Cricetulus griseus: one gene and its partners. The protein of the gene in region 1 interacts with the protein of each later gene in a biochemical or structural test. Links are inferred from orthologs where the notes say so. Each region holds a gene or a part of one and is shown on either strand. Other genes may lie near its edges.

Region 1 (3,520 bases):
CTCAATGAATGGTGAAGTAGTCAATCTATAGGGGTGTTAGTGGGTGACAGAGAGGGAGGGCACCAACATGCCCAATTTGCTGAGAATAGAATCGACTAGTCCTTAGAAAATCTGTTATTCATGGGTCCTTTCTGTGCATCTGCTACTCGGGGAAGTTTCAATGCTTACATTCAAGTGAGTAGAGTCACCCTGGACATTTTATCCAGAAGGAGTTCCCAGTTGGGAGTATTAGGCTATCTGTATTACAGGATTCAAACAAAACAAAACAAGACAAAACAAACCAACAACAAAAAGACCAACCCACAATATTAATAAAGATAAAAAAAAAGTACTCACACTGCTTGGGGCTCCTTAAATTTCCCTACTTGCTGAATGTGGTACATGAGGTCCCCACCGTTGACATATTCCATGACGAAGTATAGCCGGTCCTGTAGACCAAGGTTCACACATGAGTGGTGAGTGGGGCTCCTCCCTCATGAGCAAATACGGGGTGGCACTGGCAGATCTGCTCTTCTGGGCACTCTTCCCAGTCTTTTCCCGGTGATGCTGGGGGATACACAACTCACCCTATGGCATGGGGCCCTGGGAAAGGTAATGCCCTGTAACAATCCTATGGCTGTGGGTGATGGCTGTCTGAGAACACGCCTGCTTCCTGGCTTCATATGAGCTTTATTACCATAAGGGCTTCATTCACCCCCATCCCCCCTGTACAGATGATATATCACTAAGCTGGTGGTGGTGCGGAGATTCCACATGGGCCCATCATTTTATCTTAACCTCTGTTATCGATGGTGCACATGTGTAAAATCTGGCTTGTGACATCTAGGAGGTATGCCATGCTAATATAGTAACAAGCTTAAATGGATGCTTCTGAAAATATATCTCTTGGGTTAGGTTGAACTCATAAATTATACAAACTTAATGATATTTAGTGGCGGGGGAGGGGAGCACCATAAATGGAAATTTTAATCAATGTTCTTTTGCCTCCATAATGTGTTCCAATATTGCCTTTTTATAAAAATTTTCTCTGTCACTGGTATGCTAAGTGCTGGTCCCATGGAGGGCATAAATCAGGGAGCCAAGTACGTCTGCATATTTATGAGGACATTATGCTGGGACAGATGCGTGAGAGCAGGGAATTTAATGAGGAAATAACCAAGAGCACAACAGAGCACCATAAAAGCTGACCTCTGCTCGAGTCTAGAAAACTCCCCACTTTTGCAGAGGTTACTAAGCATGAAACTGCAGCTTGGGGGAAGGAGAGATGAGGGAGCTGGTGCTGGCGGCCGTGAGTGGCTTCGGAGCTCCACTCTATCTTTAATGACATCTTCATTGCTTTGCAACTTTCCAGGGCTGCACTAGTGTCTGCGGGGTCACAAAGCAGGGTTGAGATTCAGTTCTCTCTCCTACTTGCCACTATCTCTCTGGCACTCCAGGAGAGCTGGAGCAGTGTGTGTGTGTGTGTGTGTGTGTGTGTGTGTGTGTGTGTGTGTGTGTGTGGTGTAGCAGCGGGGACACTGGGGCAGGAGCTGACCAGTGTGAGGCTGACACACAGTGGCCAATGCTGGCTCTGCAGCCTCCACACAAGCAGTGCCCACAGGGATGTCCCATTTTGAGACTCTGCCCATCCAAAGGCATTTAAGGTGTTTTCTAAGATTTTAAAAGGGGAACATAATCATGGATCCATTTCTGACTATAGGGCAGCTATAAAGAAGATGACAGATAATGACAGCTATTGGAGGAGTGAGACCTGACAACTGTACCTCATTTAAAAGGGGGCTTGGAGGTGGAGAACACCTGTCACATTGTGGTATGCATTTATTTGTTTGTTTACTTATTGAGACAGGCTTCTCTGTGTAACGGTCTTGGCTGTCCTAGAACTCACTTTGTAGACCAGGCTGGCCTTGAATACTGGCCAAGATACTCCATTTCCTAAGGAGCATGTCCCTGTATAATGAATGACACAGCAGGAGTAGCAAGCTATGCCCTGTCCTGCAGCCCATGAGCTGTAAAAAAAAGTCACAAGAAATAATATTTTCTGGCATGTGAAACTCAGACTTTAGTGTTCTAAGGACAAAGCCACGTCTGTCCACTTCCCTGTCACCTGCAGCCACATCCCCACTGTGATGAGGAGTTACAAGATGAGTTACAGTAGACATGCAAAACCTATATCTACTCTCTGACCCTTTTCAGGGGAAAAAAAGTCCTCATAAATGGCCCTAATAACACTGTGACCTTTGTCACAGAGTAAAATTAAAAAGAAAAAAAGTTCATATTACAAAGGCACTGTAGGGCTTTCCATCTACCACAGAAACATACACATTAAGATATACCACAATGAAGCCAGGCGTTGGTGGTGCACTCCTTTAATCCCAGCACTCGGCAGGCACAGGCAGGTGGATCTCTGTGAGTTCGAGGCCAGCCTGGTCTCCAGAGTGAGTGCCAGGATAGGCTCCAAAGATACACAGAGAAACCCTGTCTCGAAAAACCAAAAAAAAAAAAAAAAAAAAAAAAAAAAAAAAAAAAAAAAAAGATATCCCACAATGAGTTGGGCTTGGTGCATGCCTTTAATCCCAGCACTTGGGAGGCAGAGGAAGGCAGATCTTTGAGTTCGAGGCCAGCCTGGTTTGCTAAAGAAGAAGACAGGGCTGTGAATTTATGGCTGTTTTGTGTAAGTCCTAGCATAGGGCTTGCATGGAGAAGACCTTTCTCATACAGCCACTTCTAGGACCCTCATGGACACCCAGATCCGCCCATGTGCAAGCCCCTTATTTAAAGTGGTTTAGTATTTGCATGTAATCCATGCACATTTGCCTACTGAACCCAAATCACCTCTGGATTACTTATATCTAACATAACGCAATGAGGGATGAATAGTGGCAGCCTGTCCCCAAAGGAAACTGAATTTAATCAGCAGGGTAAGTGGGTGGGTCTTGAGACCATGATTCAGCCTCCAGGTAAGAGGGGGTGTCTGAGAGAGAATCCATTGTTTTACCACTGTCTGGAAGCAGGAGTGCAGCTGGGTCAGGAACGGGGGCTTATCCAGCAGGGCCAGAACCCGCTTTTCCACCATGGTGCACTCCACGTCATCATCCTGGATCACCACGTCCTTCTTCAGGATTTTGATGGCATACAGTTCCTCTGTTCCCTTCCTGTCAGCGAGCATCACCTGGGGGTGGAGGGAAGGAGAGAAGGCTCAACACTGGTGGGCAGTGGAGTCTGGGAGTGGGAGTGGAGGTTGTGAGGAACAAGGGCAGGAGACCGTTCAGCAACCCATGGTGCAAGTCTGAGAGTGTGAGATGAAAAACATACTTAGCCATTTTGATATGGTTCCATTATGGGTAGCAGCGCTTACGGTCCACATGCAGAAGTCTTGGTCCCTGGTGTGGCAATAGTGGGGAGTGGGAGTCCCTGGCAATAGTGGGGAGAGGGAGTCCCTGTAGGAACTAAGGTCTGTTCTAGCTTCAGTTCTGTTGCTGTGATACAATACACTGACCAAAAAAAATTAAGGGGGAAATGA
Region 2 (2,165 bases), on another chromosome or scaffold:
AGGGGCTCTAGCCAACCTAGTCAGGGCCTAGGTAAGGTGGGGCAGAAGTGGCTGAGAAACCCACCTGGTGACAGTTTGGTAGGGGAGGGCATGTTGGGATCTAAGCATCCCAGTACTGACCACACCTGATGCTAGGCCAGTCAATGGGACTTGTCAGATGGGGCTGCGGCCCTTTAAAGCCAGGGAATGCTCTCAGGACCCTCCCTCTACAAGGAAGCCGGGAAGAGCAGAGCAGAAAGGGCCTGCAAAACAAAGAGCCCAGAGACCACTCTCTCTAAGAGAGGTGCGCAGCACCACAGGCTGCGGCTAAATGGGAAGTTAGCCTTGTCGGGAGGGGGCAGGTGTGTTTGGGAGAGCACATGGGCTGAGCCAAATCCTGCTCAGGTCGGTGCCCCCAGAGCCTGCAGCTGGTGCGGTAGTGTGCAGTGGGGGTGGGGAGGGGCCTGGAAGCAGGGCTTCCAGTCCCAAGGGAAAGCTGCTCCTTCGATGGCCAAAGAGCAGGCGGCACTGTGCATGGTCACTGCTTCTCCTCCGAGGACTCCTGGGAGATACCCTTCTCTTCCTCCTTCTCCAGTTTCTTGGGTCTGCCCCTTGGTTTCCTCCCTGGAGCTCTGGTAGCTTTCTGTGTCTTGGCAGCACCTTTATTTTTGCTTCCCTTTGGTCGGCCCCGAGGTCTCTTTGGTGTTGGTACTTCACTGGGCTCCTTCGGAGGCTGCTTGCGCGGCCTACCCCGGCCTCGCTTCTCAGTCCCGTCCTTCTCCTGCTTGGAGGCCAGAGGCTGGCTGGACTTTGAACTGGACTCGCTCATCTTCCTTCTCTACGGGACAGTAGGGGGCACTGGCTGTGATGGCCTTCTTGGAGCAGCGCCAACACCAGAAATAGCCCCGACTCCGGAGTCGGGGAGCACAGTTAGAGGAGCACAGCACGGCTCAGGGGAGCTAAGAAAAAAAAAAAAGAAAAAAAAAAAAGCTAGAACTCTTCTTTCAAACCACAGTTCCTCTCAAAAATCAAATTCGGGAGCTGGTTGCTTGTGGTGAGGTAAGCAACCTAGCTGTTTCTAACCCAGAGGCCAGGGCTTTTGTTTCCCATCCCTCATCACCCAGGGGACTAGGCGGAGCCTTGGGGTACTTGAGATAAAGTTCTCTCAGGTGCTGTCTTTCTTTGGGCTTCCTCTTCTCCCGAGAGGCCTCTACTAATTGTGAAGGAAGTGAAATGATTTCCAATTTATTTAAGAAGATATCTGAGGTGGAACACACTTATGATTCCTGCACTTTGGGGGTTGGGGGCAGGAGGGTCAGGAATTCAAGGCCAGTCTTGCCTACCGGGTAAACCTAAGACCTTCCTGGGATATATAAGGCCCCATCTTAAAATAAACACATAAAAAAGAAAACTAAAGGAAGGAGATGAGGGAAGGAGAGAGGAGGAGAGGGGAGAAAAGATGGAAGGAGGGAGGGAAGGAAGGAAGAGAAGTAGAGGAAAGAAAGAAAGAAGGAGAGAGGGAAGGAAGAGAAGGAGAAGAAGGGAGGGAGAGAAAAGGGAGAGAAGAAAAGAAAAAATGAGGCTGGTTGATTTGAAGAACACAGGACTCGCTGTGGGGGGCTTCGAGATCATTAAGATTGCTTAAGATGTATCTATACATGTGCATATATCTATGTGTCATAAAGGTAGAAGGATCTAACCAGAAAGAGGAAGGGCTCTAGCAGGGAGGGCAGGGAAGACTAATGAAGGAATTAGAAAGGTCAAACTACATAATATGCTTGAATCAAAATGTCATTGTGAAATCCAAAGCTGTATAATAAATATTGGCTATATGATTGGTGGGGGAAGACTCACCAAGTTCTTCTGAAATAGTCGGGAATGTCCTCCGGCAACCAAAACCTGCTTTGGGGGAACGCCTGATGCTCCGTGCCGCCTCCCTAGGCCTGCAGTTTATAAATCGACCAAAATCTGCAGAAAAGCAAAACGCTTAAATTGTACTGAGCCATCTGCCCGCCTGCTCTGGGTGCTGGTGACACTCTTGGAAGGTGACTATCAAGAGAGATAATGGATCAGGAGATAAGGCTGGAGCATGGCAGCCCTGTGCCAAGCTGCCAGTCAGGCCCAGACACCCTTAGCCTTCTCGTTCCTGTTAAGTGAAACGTAGGGATCTCTCTGTGAGTACAGAC
Region 3 (4,274 bases), about 77 Mb from region 1:
AGGCTGCTCGAGCATGCCCAGTCGTGCTTTGGCTCCCAGGGGTTGTGGGCTGGTGGAAGCCCTCGATGGGCCATCTCCTCAGTGCAGGTCAGTTGCCGCCGGCAGAGTTCCTCATCTGTCTCCTTGTCCACCACAAGCAGCTGAGTGTGCCCCTCCACAGCCTTGATCCTCTGTACCACCTGGAATGGGTGGGTAGCAGGACTAGATCAGCAGCCAACACGCTGGGCAACACATGGATAGGGCACCACTTCGAAAGGGCGCCACTCTTGGCAAAGCACGACTCACAGACAGCAGGCAGGGGTTGGCCTGCCAGGGGTGGGCAGCTGGACTGAGAGGCCTGCGAGCTCCACCCCCCACCCCCAGTTTCCAGTAGCTCCCTCCCTCTTCTCCCTGAGCTAGGGCCCAGGCTGCAAGTACTTCAGGATCCTCTTGTGGCATTGCACCAAGCTCAGGTAAGGACAGGAAGGAGATGCCAGGAGCAGCCAGATGGAAGAGTCAGAAACGATTGAGTTGAGCTTCAGGATTTCAGTCTAGTCTATGCATGTGTGTGTGCATGCTTATCTGTATGTGTGTGCTTTTGTGTGTGTGTGTGTGTCTGTATGTGCATCTATTTTAAAGTCTGTCTTTCCGCCTAGGTGTAGGAGAGGGCTACATGGCCCCAATGTGAGTATTTGGGTTTATTTCTTTCTCTGAGATGCAGTGTGAATCTAACACCCAGAAATCTCTAGAACTCCAATTTGCCTCCAGACCAGGACTAGAAACCCATTCTTGCTGCACCTGCAAAGGGGTGAAGAACTAGAGATTCTACCTAAGGTGCCAGAAATATCAGGTAAGCAGGATCCCACTCCAGCAGGTAAGGCGAACAGTAGCAGATACAACAGTGTAAGAGGTGTGGCTTGACAGCCATCTGTGTATCTGGATGGGTGCCTGTGAAGTGTGGAGAGCATGTGGGCTACCATGGATCATGCAGGATGTTAGTTTGAGTTCAAAGGGAGACATGCCCACCGGACATCTGAAGGGCAGGAAGCATTAACAACTGCACCAAGGCCTGCGGCTGAAGAGACGGAATCCCCATCATTACTTCACTTAGTACATGCTATCCTATCACAGATAGGAAGGTCTGACCCACAGCCACCTTCACCTGGCCCCTCCATGACCATCCTCTCTCCCTGTGACCAATAGAACAGGATCCCAGCACCCTGACACCTTTTGGCATGGGAACGGAGCCAGTCAGTAAAATAGGAGTCATGGTTTTACCTCCTATCTTCCTGAGCAGGAGAAAGGATCGAATGTGGCTCTGCGTGAAAGTCTGTAGGGACTAGCACCCCAGAAACCTGCGATAAACAGGTGGATTCCAGTAACTGCTAGAGGCAGATGACACCAACCCTGCAGGTCTCTACCTTGCCTTGTGGGCCAACCTTTGGGCTCCATCCCAAACTCTTCATCACACAACCAAATCCAGTGGTCACTGTAGGTAGAAAGCAGGTTCCTGAGGGAGACAGGAATTCCCTCATGGCCCAGTGAAGTACCACCCTGCCTTCTCCAGGCTCCAAGACTAACCACACAGGTAGGTCATGGACATGCTGGTACCAGGGATCCAGGCAGAAATGGTGGAAGAAGTCTGGGCCCTAGCCAAGGTCTGAGGTGTGTCTACCCCTCAGCAGGATACAGACACCCAGAGGTAAAACCTGAGGAGAGAACAGCCTTCCTCTGGCTACAGAAGGCAAGAGCTGAACAGTGACCTATACAGGGAGGGCCAGGCAGCCTCTCAGGAGGAGGCTGTTTCTGACACCAAGGAAGTATACTGCCATGGTGCTGACTGCCAGACCCAGACATAAGGGCCCATGAGAGAAGTACACCAGTATATCCAATCATGCAGACAGACAGATGGACGGACACACACATACACACACACACACAGCTGGCATACATGTTTGATGTATCCACCCAACCCTAGACACACATTCCAGCACTGACACTGAATGCTTTCATCCTGGAACAGTTGGGTAGTGTGTTCATATGGATGACCCCAGAGAGACCTGCAAGCACTCACACATTGACAGAAAAGCATCTGTACCACAAGGCCACAAGGTGCCTTAGCCACCTCCTCCCCCTCCATGGCACACAGAGGCCAAAACTAGCAGAAGCAGCCAGGGCCCTGGCCAGAGTAGCCGCAGTGCGGCCCCTCCCTACCAGGATGTCCTCCCTCCCCCGCTAGTGCAGGACTGAGCTTCCTCACCAGGAGGCCAGCTGGCCGGCCACGTCCCACACCTCAACACCGAACCCAGGCAGGCCCCTGTGCGACCCTGGCCGGGTCCCACCATGTGGCACGCAGAAGTGGGGGTTGTTGGCATCTTGGCCAGCGCTGTAGGGACGCGCCCCCAGGAGGGTGCCGGGGGGCGGGGCGCAGCGCAGGGACCCACCTGGTGATGCGTCTCGCCCTCTACGTTGACGCCGTTGACCTCAACCAGGCGGTCCCCGGCGCGCAGCGCGGCCGCCTCGGCTGGGGAGCCTGGCTCCACGCGCCGGATGAACTGGCCACGGCGGCCCTTCTCGCCATGCAGGTGGAAGCCGTAGCCTTGCTCGCCGCGCACCAGGCGACACAGGCGGGGCCGCAGCGACTCCTGCGCGGCCATGGCACCCGCTGCCCCCTGGCTGGCCGCGACTGGCCACGGCTCACACCCCCGCAGGCTGGAGCGCGGAGGCGGCGGAGGCGCGGGCGGGAGAGCAGGCAGCGGCCTCTGTGGCTCCCGCTCAGCTCGCGTCGCCTCGGGCTCCGGCTTCGGCTCTGGCCCTGGCCCCTGCTCCTGCTCCTGCTGCAGCGCGCCGCCCCCGCGCCCGCCCCTTCCCCGCCCTCCTGGCTGCCCCCGCCCTAGCCCAAGCCCCGCTAGCTAGGCCCCTGCCTGGGAGCCCAGACCATGGAGCGAAGATTGCAGGGTCACAACCCCGAGCCCTGGGACTCCTATGTCATCCCATTTTGGCCACCCTCCGAAGCACCTTCGCCCTCTGTTCCAGGAACCACTCATAGACACCTGCATACCCTACATTCCCTACATTGAAGAGGTTCCTGAAATAGGGAGCTTAGAGAAAGGACCCCTACACAGAGACCAGAGGGCAAGAACAGGGGCCGCTGCTCTCCCTCCTCGGAATACACCTCTACGCACCGCACCGGGATTGCTCTGGCCGCTCCCTCTTTGCCCTCTGAATTTAGATCCCCAACACAGAGTGCAACAGGCAAAATACAAATTTAAAGAGACATGCCAGTGACTAGGTGACCCCCTGCCCCTCCCAGGAAGTGTTTGTTCACTAAACATCCTGAACCCATAGTCCCTGCTTTTCGGGAACATGAGTTTATCTGGCAGAGATGCAAGGGTATTTGCTGCCTTCCTCTTGACCTGGTATGATCTCTGCTAAGGATGAACTTTGGCTCCTGAGCTCTAGGTGGTGACCAGCTGTCCCATATTAAACCCCACAGGTCTCCCATCCTCTATCCCCCATAAACTCTTACTTTTACACTTGTGTAAGTTCTCACCTGCGGGACAGCAGTCCCTCAGAGAATCACTTATGCATATTCCTATACAGTTACCCTCAGAACAACCCCGGAGGAAAGAGGCCATTTTACAGATCAGGAAACCGAGGCCTGGCAAAGGGAGGTTCTGAACCTTTTTTGGAGCCTAGTACTGTGAGACTGCACTTTGACCTGCAAGTATATTCTCAGGCACATATGGCAGCTGAGATCCAGGCTCACCTACAGTCTGCTTCTCCCCAGCCCACTGCTCCTCACTTACCTGGTCCCCCTGGATCAGGTATAGCCAGTTCATACAATTCCCCATGTGGATAGGAGATGCAGCCCTAGTTCAGTGTTTGCCTCTCCCTCTCCTCTTTCCGGAGCCCTTAGCTGGAGCTCTCCACCTCCACCCAAGCACCAGGACCGCCTCTGAGCAAAATCATAGGCAGCAGCCCCTTGGGTACCCACACCCTAGTGGCTGCCCCTGAAAGGCACTTAGGCTGAAGATACATTGTTGCTCCCTGCCCCCAACCCTCTCTGCAGATTCTGGATGATGCTGCCATAGGCTCTGGCCCAGCTGACCATCTCCATCGGTCGGCCTGCCTTACCCAGGGTTTGTCTGTTTTAGGGTTGGTTTCTCTGGGTCCAGCTTAATGCTGGAGATTGTAAGATAATGTGTATGAACAGTATGCTCACTGTATATCCCACCTGTGTGGAACTTGGAAATTATCCCACAACAACCAGGACTATCCCAGACGTACTAACT
Region 4 (3,520 bases), on another chromosome or scaffold:
ATGTGCCGCTACAACCAGCTGGTCCCTCTGACCTTGAGAGGAACATGAGCTAAACAGACTCTACCTCACAGTGCTGTTCCGACAAGTAAGCTTTCTAAGACTGACATAGCCAACCCTTCCAAACTGCCCTCCTGCCATGGAAAGAAGGATCAAGAGAGTTACCTCTAGGATAAGGATAATGCGGCCATTGGCAAGGCCCATCAGCAGGTGAGTAAGGTGGGCATAACCCTCAGGTGTCACTTGGCAGCCCCCCAGTGGGTCCCCTTGTGCAGCATCAAAACCAGCTGAAACCAGTACCAGTTCCGGGTTAAACTGCAGTAAGGAGAGAAGAGACACACAGCATGAAGGCTTTGGGAGGCAGTAAGTGATGGAAACAATGACAAACGAAGGCATGGAAATGCAATTCAGAACCTAGAGGTTATGAGAACAGAGAACTGAAAATAAGGAGCAGACGTGGACAGCCTGTTAAGGCTAGGTTAGGGTTGGGAACACGAACTAGTGCGAAGAGCCGGTAGTTCAGTGGTAGAATTAGTCTGACATGAACCAAGGGCCTAGGCCCATACATCATATATACTAATATGAGTGTCATACACCCCCACTCCCAATCTTAGATACGCACACTGGCAGAACTGCAACTCACACCAGTTCCACATATATACTTGGTTTCTTACGGGGAAAGTAAGACACAGCCACCCCTGCACAGGCACAATGTGCTGCATACAGTCACCACAGTTATAATAGTTATGCACACTCTGCTCATGCCCACAGGGGGCAATCACTTGCATGCAGTTGGACAGACACATGAAGGCTAGTTTCTCCCACCTGTTTATAGTCACATGCATGCAAATCCAGAAGCACACTCCTAAGTCCAGACTGGCAGAGTTGCGTCCTCATGGAGTCAGTCACACACACACACACACACACACACACACACACACACACACACACACACACACACACACGCCCCCAGGTTGGCCACACAGCTAGGCCAACCCGGAGTCAGAGCACTCAGGGAGACCCAACACATAGACATCTGGACCCAGTCAACCAGACATGATGATGATGATCTCACTATAGCCTCCAACACTGAGAAGATCTCTCTCAAGCTATCACAAGACAGCAGTATTGAGTGGCTGGCATCCAGTATCACACCTATCACATATAGAAAGATAACCGGCACTGTGCAACATTATACACATGCATTCAACCTCCTACCTCCCTTGTACACACAGTTTCACAGAGACAGCATCTCTTACGGATACCCTTACAACCATGCCCACACATTGGCAGACTTATCCAGGAGGCACACACATGCATACATACACAGCCAAGACAGTTGCTCACATATAAAATGTCATACAGAGAGGCCACTCACATGCAGCCATATGTGCATGCTCAGACAGACAGATACATGAGGCTGTCACTGCCACTTCTGTCCCAACAGCCACCAAATGACCTTGTATTCAAACACACATGCTGAGGAGGCAGGTAAGTGCTGCCACCTACACAGATGTCACATAATGACCAGAGCCTTACTTACCTCATAGGCGATGGGAAGTACCAGACGATGCCAGGCAGTCAGGTAGTCAGCATCACCCATGCGGGGCCCATTCCAGGGCACATTGACAGTGAAGCCTATACCGGCAGCTCGGCCTACTTGGCTACTGGCACCCTCATCCCCCATGGGGAAGAAAGTGCCATGGTCATACCGGTGCACGGACACATATAATACACTGCCGGGGAGAGGGTAGGATGAGAAAGGGGCCACAATAAGTTAGGGGCCACAAACATCCCTGCAAATATGGTGCAGCACCCTCCCACACCACATTCTGCCCATAGTCCCATCCTTCACCTGGGGTCATCTTCAAACATGTGCTGAGTTCCATTACCATGATGAACATCCCAGTCCACGATCAGGATCCTGGGGAGGGAAATAGCTCCTTTTAGCAGCTAGGAGAGGGAGGGCTCGAGGAGAGGGAGGGCTCTGGCTAGCTAGACTCCTGAGGTCTTCGGAAGCATTTGTTGCTGGGTAGCAGGACCACGGGTATCTTGTGAAAGCACTGGCCATCATTTTAAGACTAAAGGTCTAACCTTGGTTTCTAAGGGCTTTACTATGGGCCTAAACAAGTACTTGAGGCTAGGTCCTAGTCTCTTCTGAGGACTGACTAGGGAATAGGGCTCTGGGACTGGTTGACTAATGTCACATGCCAAACCCTAAGTCTTTTGGAGTAAGTACCGGTAGCCTGGGCTTGGGTTTTGTTGGAATTACCTGTTAGGGATCAGGAATGTAGAATACCCAGGATCCTAGTTTATCAAGCATCTAGATGAAATGATCTGGTGACACTAATACAATCCTCCTGTCTCTTTTGTAGTCAAGTGCTGCCCGGTGGACCCTTCCTTGTTTCTATGAAAGCTCCTGGGGTTGGACCATGGATCTGCCACATAAGACTGAATGGGGGCAGGAGAAGTGTCCAGGTCCCTTCAAAGGTCAGGTTTGGGGGATCAGTGGGGATCTCTTACCGCAGGGCACGCCCAGCAATGGCTTGAGCATGTCGAGCAGCCACAGCTACAGAGTTGAAAAAGCAGAAACCACAAGCAGCATCTGGTTCTGCGTGGTGTCCTGGAGGACGCACTATTGCAATGCCATTCAACACCTGCAGAGAGGAGCAGTGAGGAAGACTGGATCTCTGGCCCTCCCTCTTGGCCTTTCCGTTCTTCCCTTCCCTTTCTCTTGTCTACTCTACCAGTTAGTTGGGGAGTCACTCTGGGATGCTCCTCCCAGCACACTCTCCCATTGCCTCTGTCCACCTAAGTAAGAGCAGGTGGTCCTCTCTTTCTGTCTCCTCAGGACCTCATCTCTCCAGTCAAACTGCACTGGCACTGGCACCCACAGAAGACGCACCTGTCCTGAAAGCACAGCTTCCACGAGGCAGCAGGCAGCCCCTGTGGCAAGCTGCGCACAGGCAAAGGTGCTGGGGCAGATGTAGATGGAGTCAAAGTTGGCACCTTCACGGTGTAGCTCCCGGGTTTTCATCTTTTCTGTGGCCCGAACACGATCCACATACTCGGCACTGGAGACACAAAGGAACAACTAGCCATGAGCACATCCCCAGATAAGAACTTGGACCTCTGTAGGTGAGCAATAGCTCCACCCACCTTAGAGGAGAGCCCCAGGCCCTACCCCTAGAATGTCCCTATAACCTGCACCTGGTCTAGCCCTGGCACAGGGTCTGACCTGTGGCAAGCAAGAAGCTCAGCATCCATGGCAGGCCGCACAGGTAGGATGAGGCAGCGTGCTGTGAGGCCCACCTCCTCCAGGTGGCACATGATCCGTAAGATGCGCTGAGGTGTCTCAGGGTGATGACTAGTAGTGGGGGAAAACCAGAACCAGGGGTTCAGTAACTGAGATGAGTGATCCCAGAACTCATTCCAGCCCTCTGACTACATACTTGTCCCATAGGTTGCAGTGACTCATCATCTTTTCATCATAGACCAGCCCAGTGCGATCCTGTAGCACTGG
Region 5 (2,820 bases), on another chromosome or scaffold:
GAATTTGGAGGTGACTTGAATGCCTAGAAGGGCACCAGCCCAGTCAAATTTATGTCCTGTGTGCTATTCAGCATTCCAAATCATTTTTGGAAGATGGTACTTTTTTTCTATCTAACCATTGTAGAACACAGTGCCACAGTGGATGCAAGACACTTTCCTGGTAGATGGAGAAACACCACAGACTCTCCACACGGTATTTATTTCTTAGCCTATCCGTCCTCCAGCCAGCAAGGGTGGGGTGTTAGGAACTAAATGGGGCAGCCATCTTCATACAATAAGTGGCTTGCAGGATGACTTGGGGGTCCTGCTAGGGTGGGGTCAGCTGTGTAGTGTGGACTGTGTGAGGTGGCTAGCTGTTGCCTGCAGGGGTCAGATGCATCTCCCTTCATGTAAAGGGGCCCTAAGGCTCACAAGGCCTTTCTCACTCTTACCCCCATTTTAATAGGCATTAAAAATAGAACAATAACCATGTCAGAGAAGGGAACTGATGACATACACGAGGGTGGGTCGTCTGAACTCATTCTGCTGTAAAATGTAGAAACAAGAAAGGGCAGCCACATCGAGTCCCCCAGGACACATCCAGCTCTTTTAATATAGTGGTACCACCACACACCCGATTCCGACACGGCGTTACATCTGTGTGTCACTCAAACAGTTACTCAATTTCAGCCAGATAGCTTGGAGCTGGTGGAGCCACCGGATGGCTTGAGCCGGGTCCCGGTAAGACCCAAGTCCTTGCAGGCTGGCTGCCTAGTTGGGATGCCCTCATGGGCCAGAAGCCACTCCTTCACAGCCTGCCCTCCTCCAGAGTAATTACCAATGCTGCCGTTACTGCAGATCACCCTGTGGCAGGGGATGAGGATGGGGACCTGAAAAGCAGAAATGTCACTGTCAGTCTGGCTCTGGGTTGAGGTTCCTGTGCTACCTACCAGGTCTTGCCTGTGACTGTTCAGCTCCACTAGGTAGATCCCCAGTGGGCGTGCTGCTGGCATGGTGGTCATACTAGCTCCTTCAGTACCCCTACTGTGCACCCTTCAGAGGCCTTGAAGGTATCCTTTGAGGAACGGAACACCTGCTTTGAGGTATGTGTGGGATATGAGATTTTTTGTATCAAGGTTGAGGAGGAGGGCACTGATTGCATCTGAGGAGTGATTTACCATGTGTACCTACTCAAATTAAAACTACGTTTCTGAGTTCCACACACTTTCTCTGCCATCCCCAAGCTGTAATGAGAATCTTCAGGGATGATGGCAGGCCCAGTTTACCTAAGGGCTTGGCAAACCATGGCTGAGGGGCTGCTGTTGTCCACCTTCAGATTTTGTAAATAAAGTTTCATTTGAGCACAGTCATGCCTTTGGCTGCCATCTGTGGCTGCTTCGTGAACGCACAAAATCTTTCCCAGTTGCCTTTACAAGAAAAGTTGGCCAAGCCAGTTATGCTGTGCCTATGTATTGGGAGTTTTTCTTTCCCCTTTCTTCTGAAGACACAGAGTCTCAAAGGCACCTACATGTATGCCTTCCCCTGGACACGCTGCCACTGGCAGCACATCCAAAGCCAGGTGTGATCAGTGGGCCACTCCACCCCAACAAGGCCTGTGGACTAGGAAGTCCTTATCAAGTTGCTGCGGCTTCCCAACTCAGATGGTCTGAGGTTCCCAGACCGCTCTCCAGTTTTTAATGGTGTGAGTAAAACTAAGCTTCAATGGTCTACACTAAGATGGTGGATTGACTCTAAGGGAGGCCACTTCTTAGTGGGAACAAGCATGTAAGGTGGAGATGACTGTCAGAGGGTACCAGGGATGATGTCCAGACATGCGTATGCCTTGGCTGTGGTGGGGTCTGTGTGTTCTGAGCCATTTGCCCACTCACCTGCTATTGCAAAATGTCACACCAATCAAAGAATTGGGGAATGATTCAAGGGAGTTATCAAAAATGGGTGTTTCTTCCTATTGACTCTGACAAACTCAAAAACAGGGGCCTGTAATCTCATGAGCCCACTGGCCCATCATTTACCATAGCTGGCACCATGCAAACCTGTAGACACCTTCAAAAGATCTGGATGCCAGGTGTTCATGGGGCCTTGGCTCCAAGGCACTGTTCACACCAGAGGGACTCTGATTCTCAACCTGTAGCCACAAGGCTATAACCTTGTCCAGGCTGCGTTCTTTGACCTCCAGTCACTAGGACAAGGGAATACCTGTCTCTGTAGAGGGAGTATGTTTACTTCAGCAGCGGTCCACAGGGGACTGACAAATGTCTGCCTATGTCACTGAGCACATGGCTGGGCTATGTGGAGTGAGGCTCCATGGCCCATCATCCATGCAGGCTAGACAGCTACTGAAGCCCTTCTGTTGTGTGGGTAGAGACACTTCTGGTCTGACCTGCCTCCACCCTGCAGGGAAGGAAGGGATGAGAACAGTCAGGGGGTCTGCAGAAGTTTTGTCTGTACTCTGGATTCCTTCTGAGAAGGTCAACCTGTGATCAGAGATGGCAGGGCTGGTGATGGGACATCACCCTGGTGGGAATCAACGGAAAGACGCCAGGGCTACGTCATCTCCTCCAATATTGCTATCTTTCCAATAAAGGAATATATTGGTATCCCCATACCTTTATGCCTCACTGGTTCAGAGCATGGGTACAAAAAAATGGTATCACCTGTGAAACTCATCGTGGGTGGAGTAACATTTGGACCCACCCCCCAACTTCTCTCCCTGGGCAACCACGTGACTACACTCAGCCTGCCAGGGATGGCTGCATACCTGCCCTGTCAAGGGGCATGCCTTGTGTGCCTGCTGCAGAGAATGCTGTGGATTCAATGGAC

The links.
Region 2: of the proteins of Prkca (region 1) and high mobility group protein HMG-I/HMG-Y-like, one has a biochemical effect on the other in vitro, tested with the Homo sapiens proteins (2 studies listed by BioGRID). The link is inferred for Cricetulus griseus from reciprocal best matches to the Homo sapiens genes PRKCA and HMGA1.
Region 3: the proteins of Prkca (region 1) and Slc9a3r2 form a complex in vitro, tested with the Homo sapiens proteins (2 studies listed by BioGRID and IntAct, with this or other methods). The link is inferred for Cricetulus griseus from reciprocal best matches to the Homo sapiens genes PRKCA and NHERF2.
Region 4: the proteins of Prkca (region 1) and Hdac6 form a complex in vitro, tested with the Homo sapiens proteins (2 studies listed by BioGRID, with this or other methods). The link is inferred for Cricetulus griseus from reciprocal best matches to the Homo sapiens genes PRKCA and HDAC6.
Region 5: of the proteins of Prkca (region 1) and Mgmt, one has a biochemical effect on the other in vitro, tested with the Homo sapiens proteins (2 studies listed by BioGRID). The link is inferred for Cricetulus griseus from reciprocal best matches to the Homo sapiens genes PRKCA and MGMT.

The regions. Positions count from the first base shown.
Region 1 is NC_048600.1:120,938,901-120,942,420, forward strand, and holds part of Prkca (protein kinase C alpha type), read right to left. Parts: intron 3,170-3,520; coding exon 2,996-3,169; intron 429-2,995; coding exon 337-428; intron 1-336. UniProt on the Homo sapiens protein: Calcium-activated, phospholipid- and diacylglycerol (DAG)-dependent serine/threonine-protein kinase that is involved in positive and negative regulation of cell proliferation, apoptosis, differentiation, migration and adhesion, tumorigenesis, cardiac hypertrophy, angiogenesis, platelet function and inflammation, by directly phosphorylating targets such as RAF1, BCL2, CSPG4, TNNT2/CTNT, or activating signaling cascade involving MAPK1/3 (ERK1/2) and RAP1GAP.
Region 2 is NC_048596.1:201,330,213-201,332,377, forward strand, and holds high mobility group protein HMG-I/HMG-Y-like, read right to left. Parts: upstream 886-2,165; 5' UTR 809-885; coding exon 518-808; downstream 1-517. UniProt on the Homo sapiens protein: HMG-I/Y bind preferentially to the minor groove of A+T rich regions in double-stranded DNA. It is suggested that these proteins could function in nucleosome phasing and in the 3'-end processing of mRNA transcripts.
Region 3 is NC_048600.1:44,234,654-44,238,927, forward strand, and holds the start of Slc9a3r2 (Na(+)/H(+) exchange regulatory cofactor NHE-RF2), read right to left. Parts: upstream 2,820-4,274; 5' UTR 2,637-2,819; coding exon 2,424-2,636; intron 180-2,423; coding exon 1-179.
Region 4 is NC_048604.1:114,399,683-114,403,202, forward strand, and holds part of Hdac6 (histone deacetylase 6), read right to left. Parts: coding exon 3,450-3,520; intron 3,365-3,449; coding exon 3,236-3,364; intron 3,072-3,235; coding exon 2,903-3,071; intron 2,655-2,902; coding exon 2,521-2,654; intron 1,922-2,520; coding exon 1,853-1,921; intron 1,734-1,852; coding exon 1,541-1,733; intron 313-1,540; coding exon 163-312; intron 1-162.
Region 5 is NC_048596.1:63,808,751-63,811,570, forward strand, and holds the end of Mgmt (methylated-DNA--protein-cysteine methyltransferase), read right to left. Parts: intron 870-2,820; coding exon 666-869; 3' UTR 510-665; downstream 1-509. UniProt on the Homo sapiens protein: Involved in the cellular defense against the biological effects of O6-methylguanine (O6-MeG) and O4-methylthymine (O4-MeT) in DNA. Repairs the methylated nucleobase in DNA by stoichiometrically transferring the methyl group to a cysteine residue in the enzyme.